2 linked regions of the Macaca fascicularis genome follow. The protein of the gene in region 1 purifies or fractionates together with the protein of each later gene. This does not show direct contact. Links are inferred from orthologs where the notes say so. Each region holds a gene or a part of one and is shown on either strand. Other genes may lie near its edges.

What was found.
Region 2: the proteins of HIF1A (region 1) and LAMP2 purify together in Homo sapiens (affinity purification with western blotting; 3 studies listed by BioGRID). This does not show direct contact. The link is inferred for Macaca fascicularis from reciprocal best matches to the Homo sapiens genes HIF1A and LAMP2.

Annotation. Positions count from the first base shown.
Region 1 is NC_088381.1:129,530,853-129,538,858, forward strand, and holds the start of HIF1A (hypoxia-inducible factor 1-alpha), read left to right. Parts: upstream 1-3,900; 5' UTR 3,901-4,196; coding exon 4,197-4,231; intron 4,232-8,006.
Region 2 is NC_088395.1:126,742,140-126,750,362, reverse strand, and holds the start of LAMP2 (lysosome-associated membrane glycoprotein 2), read left to right. Parts: upstream 1-4,066; 5' UTR 4,067-4,194; coding exon 4,195-4,258; intron 4,259-8,223. UniProt on the Homo sapiens protein: Lysosomal membrane glycoprotein which plays an important role in lysosome biogenesis, lysosomal pH regulation and autophagy.

The sequences.
Region 1 (8,006 bases):
TGCCTGGGCTTTGCTCCTGGTAAACTGTAATTCTCTGAAAAGCTGGGATTCTCTGTATCTATCTGTCTGTCTCTCTAGTTTTTAGGGCAGTAGTTTTTCCTGTGACCTCAATTCTCTGGTGGATCTAAGAAGAGTTATTGATTTCAGTTTGTTTAGCTTTTTTTTCTTGTTGTGAGGATGGGAGCGACAACTTCCAAGTTCTTTACATGTTGAACAGGAAACTGAAAGCCCCTTGGTGTTCCTTTGTAAACTCATCTTAGAAATATTTATCATAATTGAAAAGTGCTAGTATCAAATTTTCAGTCTGTTTATATTCCCCCTAAACTCAGATAAATATACATTTTATTTTGTGTGTTTGCATGCATGTGTGTGTTTTGTTGTTGTTGTTTTTTAAGATACAGGGTCTTGCTCTGTCAAGGGTGGAGTGCAGTGGCACAATCATACCTCTCTGCAGCCTTGAACTCCTGGGAGAAAGTGATCCTCCCGCCTCAGCCTTCAGAGTAGCTATGACTACAGGCACTAACCACCAAGCCCAGCTAACTCTTAAAATTTTTTGTAGAGATGGGAGTTTCACTTTGTTGCCCAGGCTGGTCTCAAACTCCTGGCCTCAAGTGATCCTCCCGCCTCAGCCTCCCAAAGTGTTGGCATTACAGATACTTGGTGTTTTGATTCTTGAAAGGAAAAAAAAAAAAAAGATTTTTAATCCCTCTTATCGTCTAAGCACTTTCCTTCCAAACAATACCCTTTTGCTGCCATTGTTCTTGTTATGAATAGCTTAAAGAAAAAGAAACAACGAAGGGTAATAATAGGCCAGGAATCATTTACTGAATACTAGGTCTTCTTGCAGAGTTTAATACCCTATAAACTCTGTGCATCTGATGCATTTCACTTTCAAAAGGCTCAATGCTCTATATTATTTAGTAGTAATCAAAATTTCAAGTTTTACCTAGCCTCCTGATTCACTGCCCAATTTCCTACTAAATATGGGTCAATGGGGTTATTTGCAAATAATCTTATAGTCTACTCAGAAAGTTCTGCAGTTAGAAAGTGATTAAATGACTGTTTAAGATATACTTACATAGTAATAACCTAAATGCATTTGTTAAGTAGTTGTAAACAGGTGAATTTAAAATTTTATCCTATATGAAATTTTCCTTTTTGGTGTCTGTTATTTAATAGGATTGTTTGAATTAGGGGATAGTATTTGGTGTCTTTGTAACTATATGAAAATTAGTTGGTTGAATATTACTGCTTTCCATGTTCATATTTATATTTGTATATACACATATATACATACACATATACTACTTTCCTTTCCATTTTCATATTTATATTTGTGTATACACATATGAACACATACATAAAAATATATTTTATACATTTTTGAAAAGGAAAATTAACTTTAGGGCAAATTTAATGAATGTTCAAAAATATTTTTTGCTGATCCAATTATCACTGTGTTTTAAACTTTTGAAATGATCCAAAAAATTTTTAAATGACTTAGAGTTACTGTTACAAAATGTTTGTCTTTTGATGTCACAAACATTATACACTGTAATCACTGGCCAGAGAGAATTGCTATAAGTATAATGAAAAGGGAAATGATTGAAGATCTCTGCAGCTATCCTCATAAATGAGGGTGGGAACACGATGGGCAGTTCCCAAGTTGAAAACAGAGAATATATGTGGATTTATATTAACATAATTGGTATTCTTGGATAGTTAAAAATGGCTAAACTGTAGGAGAAGCCCGAGTAATTACTGTTAACAGAGGAATAAATTTGAGGGCAATAATAATGATAACAGGCCAGCACTGTGGCTCATGCCTGTAATCCCAGCATTTTGGGAACCCAGGTGAGCGGACCACCTGAGGTCAGGAGTTCGAGAGCAGCCTGGCCAACATGGTGAAACCCCGTCTCTACTAAAAATACAAAAATTATCCGAGTGTGGTGGTGGGCGCCTGTAATCCCAGCTACTTGGGAGGCTGAGGCAGGAGAATCACTTGAAGCTGGGAGACGGAGTTGCAGTGAGCCGATATCGCACCACTTCCCTCGAACCTGGGGGACAGAGCGAGACTCCGTCTCAAAATAATAATAATAATGATAATAATAATGCCACCAACAATACTAAGAGCTAACATTTACTGAGTGCTTACTAGGCACCAGATGTTGTTCTAAGTATACATGTATTATCTCATCTAACTATCCATAATACTGTGGTATAGACACTTTTACATCGATTTTATAAATAAGTAAACTGAGTTATGGAGAGATTAATGACTTGCCAGTAAGTTTCAAAGCCTGTGTACAAGCTCACGCTTGATTCTGGAGCCAGTGGTCTTAACACAGTATCTTCAGAATGTTAAACTAAAAGGTTTTTAATTTACAGAATTATTCTTTCCACAATTAAAAAATAAATTAGGAGTAATTATTTTGAGTTCTTTCTTCTCTTCAGGCATTTCCCATGGTTCTTTTCAAGACATAATACATATCATTTAGTGTTGTAGATCTGAAAAAACAAAAGTAGCGTGAAGACCAAAAGTTTTTTAAAGAGATGGAGTCTCGCTATTGTTCTCTAGGCTGGAACTCCCAGGCTCAAGGGATCCTCCAGCCTTACCCCTCTGAGTAGCTGGAACCACGGTGTCCGCTAAGGTCAATGTTGAATCGTATCTTTGTAGGTCTACTGACCAGTTAGAAAGAGGTGCTGTATACATTGGTTGTTGTCTTATCAGAGTTTGATGCTTTTATATAGACCATTGTTTTTACATGCTAATACAATTGAAAGCCACTACAGATATTTATATTTACAACCCAAAGCTAGGTTTTAACAAGAAACTCGTAACGCAAAGGTGAGAAGTAAAATAATTTAGCGCCAAGTAGAGATATATGTGCAATGCTCCTTTATTGGGCTCAAAATATATTCTTTTGTTTTATAAGACTGACAGGCTTGAAGACACTTTTATATCCATTATGCCTCCAAAGACAAAAATGATTACGTTTTATTTAGTAGCTTGCAAAGTTGCCAAAGACCATTTTTTCTACTCTTTCCCCGAAATTGGTTTATATGCTTATTAAAGTCATTTATACCTATTTGTGAATGCTTAACATAGTTTCAGATTTTAAGATTTCCCTGCAACTTTATTTCCCTTGAAGTTTACAGCAAGAGGAGTTAATTTTTATTTTTAATTGCATTTATTCAGTAATTAAACTCCGCCACAGAAAAACTTAGTGGACAAGGTGAGTTCCCCTGTGTCCCATGGCAAAGGTGCAGTGGGTGACATTGACCCATGGTTAGGTAACCTGGCAAGGAAAGACCCCGTTGTAACACCTCTGAGCAACGAGACCAAAGAAGGGCTTGCAGCCACGAGGCGAAGTCCGCTTTTTTGAACAGAGAGCTCAGCAGAGTTGGGCGGCAGTCACGCTCAGCACTGCGGCCGAAGAGAAAGAGAGCGGCAGCATTACATTGCTGCACGAAGAGTAGGAAAATATGATGCAGGTTTGGGACCAGGCAACCGAAATCCCTTCTCAGCAGCGCCTCCCAAAGCCGGGCACCGCCTTCCTTAGGGGAAGGCGCAGAGTCCCCAAACCCGCGCTGAGCCGCGCCCCCAGCTCCTTTCTCTTTCCTCCGCGGCTAAACACAGACTACCACGTGAGCGCCGCAGCACGTCCCAGCTGTGCCTCAGCTGACCGCCTCCTGATTGGCTGAGAGCGACGTGGGCTGGCCGCCTGCGTGGCTCGCCATTGGCTCTCGAGGAACCCGCCTCCACCTCAGGTGAGGCGGGCCTGCGGGAGCGCGCGCCGGCCTGGGCAGGCGGGCGGGCGCGCTCCCGCCCCCTCCCCTCCCTGCGCGCCCAAGCGCGCCTCCGCCCTTGCCCGCCCCCTGACGCTGCCTCAGCTCCTCAGTGCACAGTGCTGCCTCGTCTGAGGGGACAAGAGGATCACCCTCGCCGTCGCTTCGGCCAGTGCGTCGGGCTGGGCCCTGACAAGCCACCTGAGGAGAGGTTCGGAGCCGGGCCCGGACCCCGGCGATTGCCGCCCGCTTCTCCTGCTTCTGGTCTCACGAGGTGTTTCCCGCCTCGCACCCCCACCTCTGGACTTGCCTTGCCTTCTCTCTCCGCGTGTGGAGGGAGCCAGCGCTTAGGCCGGAGCGAGCCTGGGGGCCGCCCGGCGTGAAGGCATCGCGGGGACCGATTCACCATGGAGGGCGCCGGCGGCGCGAACGACAAGAAAAAGTAAGCCCATTCCCTCGGCCGGCCGCCGGCGCCCCCGCCCGCCGTCCCGCCCTGGGCTCCCGGGCCGGCCTCGGCGCTCCTGGTGGTGGGGGGGCAGCCTTTTTGTTTCTGCGGCTTCTCCCCTCCCCTCTCTTTCCCCCAACCTCGCCGGCCGGGCTCCCCCGCTGTCCACGTCGCCATCTTGTCGTGGGGGGTGGGAGACGCCTCGAAAGTGCTTTCAGGGGCCGGGATCTGAGCCCTGCTTGCCCTCCCCGCCGGCCGTGGGGGCCTCGCGCCGCCCACCTACCCGCCTCAGAAACCCAGCCTGCTCTGTGGCCGCATCCAGAGGGGACTTTACCCAGCCCGAAAACCCCGGGAAGAGAAATGAGCTGCAGCTCGGTAGCCGCGGTTTGCACCCGGAGCTTCCGCTCCTTCCCGCCCCCATCCTCTCCGGTTCCATTGAAAACTCGGCCCTGGGGCGGACCCTGCACGCTGGTCCTGGCTTCCTAGTGGGCTTGGGGCCCTGAGTTCCCGACTGAGGGACTCGCGTGGTCGGATGCGATCTTGTCCTGTAGTTGTCCAGCCGTCGCGGGTGTCTTTGCCTTTGTGCATCCTAGGGATTTGCCGCGATGGCCTTAAGATGCGAACTTTTTAGTTTGCACGTGCAGGTTTTGTTTCGTTTTAAGCGCCTTAAAAAACTTGCCTAGACTGAGAGTCAGAGTAATGGGAATTTAGAGAAATAGCAACATTTTAAAGAGAACTTTAGAATTGGATACTTGAGTTCATATCACCTGTCACGAGAACGCAGATATTATAAATGAATACATGCCTCACTCATTCTTCAAATAATGAAAATGTAGGGGCTGGTTAAATGTAGGCAGACAGTTTTAATGATACTGAAAAAATTATATGATGAGTGAACGAAATGCGGCACTAAAATGTTGCAAAAATTTTCGAACTCTTTCGTTTTCCTGAAACTGAAGTATATTAAAGGAAAACCTTCAACATATATCCAAAGTAAGTTAATCACTCGGTTAGAACTTAATGCAAGTTTTATAAATCACCTTGAAGTTTGAGCCTAAGGGGTACATTAGAGATTAAGAATTGTGAGTTGAACCACTGGTATTAAGAGCGGACTCCCCCATCCCCCAACACACACACAATTTTGTCCACTTTGGTATTTTAACTTTTAAGGAAATCATTTAAGGAATTGAAGATTTAGAGTAAGAGTTTTGGTTAGTAGACTGGCTTTGCTCTTAAATCCTTCCACTCTTCTGGCAGAGAGATTAATTTCCCTAATCAGTATCAGCAGAAGATAAACTTGTTTATATTCTTGCTGTTTTGTAGATCCCTTCTCCTGGTCCTTCTTCAATAGAATATTAAATTCTTAGTTTGTGTACACCAGAGAAGGCACTTACAAAATTCAAAAAGTGAGCAAACAGGTTTAAATTCATTCCAAGAGTTACCAGAAATTAATTGCAGTTTATTTTGCGGAGGTGATTACAGTGCTTTTGATGAAATGATAAAGCGGCAGATTACCTCTGTGTAGTGCCAGTTTTCTATCCTTATATATATTGAATCATACTTAATACAATGTATTAAATTATGCACCAATCAATTCCTTTTTATATACAGTATCGAACTCATTTCTTTGCCATTCATCAGTTCAGAATATCAGAAGCAGTTTTGAAATGAATGAATGAATAAATTAGCTGCTGTTCATCAGCCCCAATTCTAAATGAGTTCTTAGATTTTCCTCAGCTCATCTGTTACTTTCAAAATTTTCTCATTTGAAAACTTAGCAACCTTGGGTTGGATGGATTCATTTCTTAATATAGAAGTTCTTGATATAACTGAAAAGTTAAACACTTAATAAGTGGTGGTTACTCAGCATTTTTAGATGCTGTTTATAATAGATGACCTTTTCTAACTAATTTACAGTTTTTTGAAAGATAACTGAGAGTTTGAGGGATGGGGATTTTCTTCATGCAATTTTTTTTTTTTCATTTTAAATGAGCTCCCAATGTCAGAGTTTGGGAAACAAATTTGTCTTTAAAAGAAGGTCTAGGAAACTCAACCTGAAGAATTGGAAGAAATCAGAATAGAAAATGGGTATAGCTATGATATTTTAGATTTAAGATAGGACATTTCATGTTGCCTCCTAGTTATAGGGACTGAACTTACTTAATAGCACATGTGTTTTGATTTTTAGATTTTTAAGGGAATGTCAAGAGAGTAATGATTCTGTTTCAGGCTTCAGGCCAGACTCCTTCAAAGTTTTCCAAAACAAATAATTACTGAATCATTAAAGTAAAATTGCTGAGAATAGATATTCCTTAATTTCCTTTCATTAACTTTGGCCATTAAAAGTCAAGAAGCTCTCTCATTTATTAGCAAACTTTTCTCGTTATATTTCTATTTTGATTGTCCTTTTGTTTGAGGAAGCAGTATATAGTGGTTAAGAGCATAGGATGTGGAGGCAGATACCTCTGAGTTAAGGGTCCCAGCCCTTCACTTGTGAGCTTGAGCAAGTTACTGAATGCCTCTGAGCCTCTTTGCTCCTTTTGAAGTGATGATAAGAATAGCAGCCATTTGAGCAGTTATTGTAAAGGTTAAATGAGATAATGCTTGTGAAGCACTTAGCCCATTGCAGGAGTCTTGGTGACACTGTGTACTTGAAAATAGATGTTACCTGTTAAAATTCTTGTTTGAACTTCCACAACTCTTAAAATTCTTTTTTGCTAGTCCTTCCAGCTATTTCCTTTAGTTTCTTTTCTGTGTCTTCATGCATCTTTTCTATCTCCTGAAAGTGAAAAGACTAACATTGGATCCAGAGCTTGAAAAGGGCTTTTTTTCCTGTTAAAATGGGCAAAAGAGTACATCCTTGGGTTATATTGGCACCTAGTATCAGTTATTTTTCTTGAGCATCTGATCTACTCTCTACTCCAGGCCTCGTCCTTCACAATTCCTCACCCCTGTGTTTTCTCCCCAAATAGAAAACTTTGAGTTTACTGTGGACTTACATACTGTGTATGTAGAGTCAAACATACACAGCATTCTAGTCTTACTGTTGATTTAAGCAAGATATGTGCAAGACACTGCAGTCTTAGTACTGGCAGTAACTTAAAACATTTTTTGTCTTGATGCCAAAGTTTAGACAATTTTGTAAAAATTAACCTTTGTGAAAGATAATGAGTTGATAAAATATTCTCAGTAAAGCAGCTACATGATAGAAAAACTGTCCTTTGCTTATGAATTTCTCCAGAGTTAAGACCATTGAGTTCCATCTGAAGGCAAGACTTAAAGCTTGCCTTACTGGTCTGTTTTGTGGCTCAATTTGTATGAAGTCTATATTAGTGCACTCTTCCACACGTGCGTATTTACTGAACTATCAAGTTATTTTAGAGCATCTTGTGCAGTTTGGAGAATGTCAGCTTTTCTACCTGTTAACTTCCATTGTCTTTCCTTTTAATGCCATTGTCTATGGCTCTAATGGTGTCTGGGCTCAGGGTTTAGATTTTGTGGTTACATTCTATTCTTGTATGTCAAGAGTGGTGTATAGAAAGCTGAGGGGGATTAATTAGTCTCTTGACTGATTTTTTTTTTTTCTGGAAGAACTCAAAATAGTTTATTATGTTTGGTGGTGAAATTAAAAATTGATGTGCATGGATGTTAAAGATTTGGGTTAAATCGTGTGTTCATAGATGCCTTCTCTTAATATATCATTTTTTAAACTTAGATACTTGAAATACTGTATCCCTTTATCTAAGATTAACACAAGTCTGTTTCTTAACCA
Region 2 (8,223 bases), on another chromosome or scaffold:
GGCTGGCTGTCCTTATATATAAATATAAATATAGTATATGTGTATATATGTATATGTATACATACATATATGTATGTATATATAAATATCTATATATGTATATATAAATATATGTACATATATAAAAATATATATACATATATACACATATAAATATATTTATATATAAATATATACACATAAATATATATTTATATATGTACATATATAAATATATATGTATATATAAATATATGTACATATATAAATATATATGTATATATAAATATATGTACATATATAAATATATATTTATATATAAATATATGTACATATATAAATATATATTTATATATAAATATATGTACATATATAAATATATATTTATATATAAATATATGTACATATATAAATACATATTTATATATACATATATAAATATATGTACATATATAAATATATGTACATATATAAATATATGTACATATATAAATACATATTTATATATAAATATATACATATATAAATATATATTTATATATAAATATATGTACATATATAAATACATATTTATATATAAATATATGTACATATATAAATACATATTTATATATAAATATATGTACATATATAAATACATATTTATATATACATATTTACACATATAAATATATAATTTATATATTTATATAGTTATATGTGTATTTATATATATATACACACACGCACATATATATGTATTTTCAGAGACAGGGTGTTGCTCTGTCACCCAGGTTGGAGTGCAGTGGTGCAAACATGGCTCACTGCAGCCTCCACTTCCTGGACTTGAACAATCCTCTTGCCTCAGTCCCCAAGTAGCTGGGACTACAGGTGCACACCACCAAGCCCAGCTAGTTATTCATTTTTTGTAGAGAAGATGGGGTTTCACCATGTTGGCCAGGCTAGTCTCAAACTCCTGAGCTCAGGCAATCTGCCTGCCTTGGCTTCCCAAAGTGTTGGGATTACAGGTGTGAGCCACTGTGCCTGGCCAATTTTAAATAAATGAGCATTTACTCACATAGAACCCTTGAATTACAAAGCTGGTGCCACCTTAGAGATCATCTGAGGCCCACCAATATTGTTTTGGGGAGTTTTGAGAAAAACACCATGCCCAGGCCTGACTCCAGACAAACTGAACCAGAAGCTCAAGGGATGGGACCAAGGGGCATTTCCACTTTTAAAGCTCCACAGGTGATTCCAACATGCAGCCAGGATCAAGAAACAGCTCCAGTCTCACTATTTCATTTTACCAATAAAGATCTAGAAGTTCAGACAGATGAAGTGACCTGCCTAAGGTCACACTGCCAGTAAGTGGTGTCTCACAACCAGCTCCTCTGACTGCCAACCCAATGTTCTTTCCACTATGTTCTTTTTTTGTTTCTTCTTATAGAAAGAACTTAGGGTTTTACTGAACATTAAAGTTATACAATTTACAATTGAGAGAGAAGAGCTAGGGTCCAGTGAGTATTGGTGGGGCATCTCCAGAGGGCTCAACGCAATTGTGGGTTCTCTGAAGACTACTATGCCCAGGACATAGCTCCTGCCAAGTCTCATTGATGGCAGTCGAATGACATTTTGCTAAAGGCAATGACTAACACTGTATGCAGTGTTCATTAGTCTTGTGTTCGGTCACTTGTTCACAAATTAGTTTCACCAATGATAGTAAACATTCACTGACAAATGTTCTCACTTTCAGGAATTAATTACATTAAAGCAAACAATAGTGGGACAGATCAGTGGTTCTTAATGTTTGAATTAGGGTGGTTTATTAACCTTAATATTGGTTAGGGCAGGGAGTCACAGGTCCCATTGGAGAACTAGTGAAAACTACAAACTTCCCCACAAAAATACACATACATAAATGTTGCATGTAATTTCTGAGGATTCACTGACACCCCTCCCATCCTGCCTAAACTCATACATAGACTCCAGATTAAAATCTCCTGGACTAGATGATTTTGAAGCTCTCTTTTAGTGTTTCTCAAAGTGTGGTCCATGGACCACAGAATCAGAATCACTTGGGGTGTTTGTTAAAGAAGAGATTCATAAGACTGCCACAGACCTACTGTTTCAGAATCTCTGGGGAATGAGGTACAGGAATCCGTATGTTAAAACAAACAAACAAACAAAAAAAAACCAGATGGTTCTTTTGGAAACTAACACTTGAGAATCAGTGCTTTATTCCAACTCGACATTTTTAAATGCTTTCATCTGTTGAATATTTTAGGTTTTGTCTGTTCATCTATCAAGTATAGCAAACAGTATGCTTAGTATTAACTCATTACAGAATATTTGTGTGTATGTACATAGGAAAAACACCTGGAAGTGTAGATGTGGGTGTGTGTATATATATGTGTAAATATATATAATAGTGTTAATAGTGGGAATAGAGATCTCTATTTTTCCCCCTTTATTCTTCTGTTTTATTTCTCTCATTTTTTTTTTTCTTCCTGTGTTTTAAAAAATATGCTTCTTGTTTCTGAGCTCAATTCCCCCATCTGAGAACAGGGTGCTGTAACTAGGTGAACTTCAAGATCATGTCTTGTTCCAATGGTCCGTGACTCCATACTATCCTCTAGGTTCCCTCGTCCATCTCACAGCATGAACTGCATAGGTAACAACAGTGTTCGGAGAATAAGCATGTATTATTTTTGTATGTATTACGTTTGAGATGCCTAGCAACCGTTTTTGTGCCCGCAAAATTTTTCTCTTCTTTGTCAAGGAGCCAAAACGGAAATAGTCTACTATCTACGGCCCTCAAAAGTTCCTCCTCTCTCCTTAGCCTTAGAAAATACCGTCCGCCATAGGCATGGGCAAAGACTTCATGACTAAAACACCAAGAGCAATTGCAACAAAAGTCAAAATTGACAAATGGGATCGAATTAAAAGAGCTTCTGCGCATCAAAAGAAACTAGCATTAGAGTGAACAGGCAACCTGCAGAATGGGAGAAAATTTTTGCAATCTACCCATCTAACAAAGGTCTAATATCCAGAATCTACAAGGAACTTAAACAAATTTACAAGAAAAAACAACCCCATCAAAAAAGTGGGTAAAGGATATGAACAGACACTTCCCAAAAAAGACATTTATGTGGCCAACAACATGAAAAAAAGCTCATCATCACTGGTCATTAGAGAAATGCAAATCAAAACCACAATGAGATACCATTTCACGCCAGTCAGAATGGCGATTATTAAAAAGTCAGGAAACAATAGATGCTGGCGAGGCTGAGGAAAAATAGGAATGCTTTTACGCTGTTGGTGGGAATGTAAATTAGTTCAGCTGTTGTGGAAGACAGTGGGGCGATTCCTCAAAAATCTAGAACCAGAAATACCGTTTGACGTGTGCACACGTATGTTTATTGCAGCACTATTTACAACAGCAAAGACTTGGAACCAACCCAAATGCCCATCAGTGATAGACTGGATAAAGAAAACGTGGCACATATATACCATGGAATACTATGCTGCCATAAAAAAAAAAAATGAGATCGTGTCCTTTGCAGGGACATGGATGAAGCTGGAAGCCATCATCCTCAGCAAACTAACACAGGAACAGAAAACCAAACACTGCATGTTCTTACTTATAAGTGGGAGTTGAACAATGAGAACACATGGACACAGGGAGGGCAACAACACACACGGGGGCATGTCAGGGGGTGGGGGCCAAGGGGAGGGAGAGCATTAGGAGAAATACCTAATGCATGTGGGGCTTAAAACCTAGATGAAGGGTTGATAGGTGCAGCAAACCACCATGGCACATGTATACCTATGTAACAAAGCTGCACATTCTGCACATGTATCCCAGAACTTAAAGTAAAATTTAAAAAAAAAAAAAAAAAGACAGAAAAAGAAAAAGAAAATGCCGTCCGCGCATATCTCTTAGGCGCATAGGAAGGGTTGTGAACCAAAAAGCCAGGGCGTGGTTGCCCCGCCCACCGGCCTCTACATCACCACCCCTCTCGCCGCTTTCAAGCGCGGAGATTGGCTGTAAGCAAGAAAGAGCCCCGCCCCTAGTCTTATGACTCGCGCTGAAGCGCCGATTCCTGGCTTTTGCAAGGCTGTGGTCGGTGGTCACCCGTGCTCTTGACCCAGGTCCAGCGAGCCTTTTCCCTGGTGTTGCAGCTGTTGTTGTACCACCGCCGTCGCTGCCGCCGTCGCCTGCTCTGCGGGGTCATGGTGTGCTTCCGCCTCTTCCCGGTTCCGGGCTCAGGGCTAGTTCTGGTCTGCCTCGTCCTGGGTGAGTTGTCGGGCCCTCCCGATTAGTCTGTCCGCCTGGGCCCGGGGCGCCAGTTCAAAGCTACAACCTGAAAGACTGGTCCGAGGGGGCGGGGGGTGAGAGGCTCAGCAACTGACACTGGGCGGCGGCGATTGGCCCGAGGAGGCGAGCGGTGACCTAGAGAAGGCCTGACAGAGGGATGGCGGGGAAGAAGGGCCCAGGAGAGTAAGAAGGGGCCGGTAACGGGGGGGTGGACGCCGAGGGAGTAGGCTGGGAGGAGTGAAGCGTGGAGAGGGTCAGGGTGGAAAGAGTAACTTGGGGAAAACACTGAGGAGTGAGCGTAGGAGGGTGGTACATGCAGATTTTGGGCGCCAGAGACAATTAGGAGAGTCCTGGTTTGCTGAGATCAGGGAAGAGTTTTGAAGATGGTGGAAAAACTATGGGGTGATATAGGAAATTAAGAGAGGAGACCATGCCTGCCTGGAGTAGCTTGGGGGAAGAGTGTGGGTGGGGGACAGATGGAACAGATAGGACAGTAGAGCCTGAGGGGCAGGGGCAGGGACAGGGTTGGGCATTTTGAAGGTTGGAATTTGAGGCTGTGAAGAAGGGGTGATTCAAGAGATTAGGAGTGATGCTGGGTTTGAGTTTGGTAGTCATAGTTTTAAGGGCGAAGGAGCCTAAGGTAGCTGGGGCAATTTCCAGGAAAGAAAACTTGGACCCAGCCTCTGGAGACTAAGGGGTTCGGTGGGAACTTTGATGGGGAGTGCACATCTGACTTGGAGGTATTAAGGATGTCGATTTTCTCCCAGTTTTGCTACTTCCTCCCAGCCAGACGCTGACAAAAAAATCCCCAGACGTTTCAGTTAGGAGGGCCTCCCAGATGAGAGGTTTTGATAGACTGAGTTTGGTAGACTACCTCTTTGCCTTCAGAGTCTCTTGTTTTCTTTCTTCCCCATCACACTAGCCTATTACCTCATTTTTTGGGGGGGTGCAGGGAGCAGGTAGACAACTTGCTAAGGATTGGGTTGTTACCAGGGCCTCATTAGAATGGCTGGATGGGGCCGGGCGCGGTGGCTCACGTCTGTAATCCCAGCACTTTAGGAGGCCGAGGCGGGTGGCCTCACCTGAGGTCAGGAATTCGAGACCGGCCTGGCCAACATGGTGAAACCCCGTCTCTACTAAAAATACAAAAATTAGCCAGGCGTCGTGGCACATGCCTGTACTCCCAGCTACTTGGGAGGCTGAGGCAGGAGAATCGCTTGAACCCAGGAGGCGGAGGTTGCAGTGAGCCGAGATCGTGCCATTACACTCCAGCCTGGGTGACAAGAGTGAAACTGTGTCTCTAAATAAATAAATAAATAAATGGCTGGGTGAATGTTCGCTGATTGTGTTGTGCCCTAATAGGCAGTGGGTCCCTAACAGCTTTAATGCCTGAAGATGAACTTTGACTAGTGTCTCTTCCTGACTTGATTCATGCTGTGCTTTTTGCTACCCACCTGCTCTTGCTATTTGTGACTTAATAAAATAACATAAAGAACAGACCCAGATGGAAGTGGGGAAGAAATAGACTTATTAGGGGTCTGAGAAAGCAGTGAGAGGTATACATTTTGTAATTCACATTTCAGTAGAATAAAATCAACACCCTGGAATAGTCATTCTCCACCAGGGGACATTTGGCAACTTTTGGAGACATTTTTGGTTGTCACAACTGGGGGATTGCTTTTAGCATCTAGTGGGTAGAGGCCAAGGATGCTGCTAAACATCCTAACTAAGCACAGGGCAGCCCCTCACAACAAACAATTATCTTCCTGAAAATGTCATTGATAAACCCTGCTCAAAAACCATAGTATTGGAAGGGTTCTTGATTATCTAATTCAGTGACTCTCAAGGACCTTTTCATGGGTCTATGAAATCAAACCTTTGGAATAATGTTAAGAAGGTTTTTGTCCTTTTCGGCTGGGCACAGTGGCTCACGCCTGCAATCCCAGCACGCTGGGAGGCTGAGGCGGGTGGATCACCTGAGATCAGGAGTTCAAGACCAGTCTGACCAACGTGGTGAAACCCAGTCTCTACTAAAAATACAAAAATTAGCCGAGTGTCGTGGCACATGTCTGTAATCCCAGCTACCTGGGAGGCCAAGGCAGGAAAATCGCTTGAACCCGGGAGGTGGAGGTTGTGGCGAGCCAAAATTGCGCCACTGCACTCCAGCCTGGGCAACAAGAGCGAAACTCCATCTCAAAAAAAAAGAAAGTATTTGTTCTTTGTCCTTTTCACGCTCATCCTCTCACCAGTGTACAGCGGAGTTTACCAGTGGCTACATAACATGTGATGACCTCACCACTCTGATGTTCTTATATTTTATTCATTTCTCAGTTTTAATTTCTAATACTCTAAATACCAATACATATGACTCACATAAACCTCTGTGAAGTCCTCAGTGGATAAGAAAGTAAAGGGGTCCTGACACCAAAACGTTTGGTAGTCCAACTGTTCATAGGGTGCAGGAAACTCTTCTGTAGCACTTCTGAAAGGTGGCCTTGAGGCAGGCTTTGCTTGAATACTTAATTCGAAGCCTTAACTGTCCCTTGGAGCACTTACTGAGGGCCAACTGACCCTAAGAAAGGATTGTTTACAATGGAAAGTACCTTATCAGTGACTAGAACACATCTGACCAAGGCATCTGTTAATCAGTAGTTCCCTGCCAGTTGAATCTGTGCACAAATACAACACTGCTATTGTTTGGGGAAAGTGAAAAAAATAATAGTTGTCCTACTTGTTGGCTTTCATGTCATTAAATTTTTTTTGTTTTTTAATGAAAGCTTTTTTGTTTTGTTTTTACAAAAGCAGTGCTTACTCATTGCAGAAAATAAACATGCAAAAAGAAGCACATAAAAGAACCCATCAGCTCATCTGCTAGTTTGCCATTTATTGATCGGGACTAACTAGATTCATCCTCTTGGAAAATTTCCAAGATTGATCCCCTCCACCTCCAAGTTCAGAGCAGGATTTGGAAAAGTAAATATTAATAATGTACCTAGATCGGATTTTTAAGAGGTTCCAGGATGAAATAGAAACCATTCTTCTATACAGCTGCATTTTCTGATGGCTACTGGTTCAGTGTGGAGCCCAAAGTCCTCCCATATGGCTTTTTCTCTCAAGAATTTAGCAGTTGCTTGGTGGGTTTTGCGCAAGTTACTTTTCTGTATCAAAATGGATACCAAGAATAGGTTTTTGAAAACTCAGTAAATATTTGTAAAGTACCTACTATGTAGCTAGATCAATAAATATTTGCGAAGTATCTACTATGTAGCTAGAACTGTGCCTGGGTACTGTACAGGGTGCCAATGAAGAAGGACCTGTCCTAAATTTATAGTCTTATTAGCATTAGTGCTCTAGCTGTGCCAGTTTGACTTTGTAACTTTATAACTCTATCCCAGCTTCACCCGTAACCTTTTAAAAACAGCAGCTTTAGAGTAAGTACAGAAAAGGATTCTTAGAGGCTATATATTGGTCTTTTTCATAGAGATTAAATTATGCTGGTGTTTATTTGGATGAATTGTAACTGGCCAGATAACTTTCCGAAGAGAAGCTATATGATTTAGAGGTGTTATAAAGTGGATAGTGAAAATCCTTTCTTTATATAATTGCCTAATTATGGTCCTTTTGTGACATCATAGATTTCAGGATTCTTCTGTGGTTATTGATTCTTATAACCAGCTTGACTTCTGTTTTTTGGTTTCTTTGTGTTTGTTGTTGTTTTTTGGTTTTGGGTTCAGATTTTTCTTTTTTAGATTTGAGTCTTTTCTGGGTGGGAAAAACCTCACAGAAATATTCTTAGTGTCCGTCACTGGTAGGAGCCTCTCCCTTCCACACATGTTTACAGAATGCCTATTGTGTCCCAGCCACTATATTAGGTGAAAGTGACAGAGGAATGGATAAGACAGATGAGTTTCCTGCTCTCATGGAGCTTACATTTTAGTGGGAGA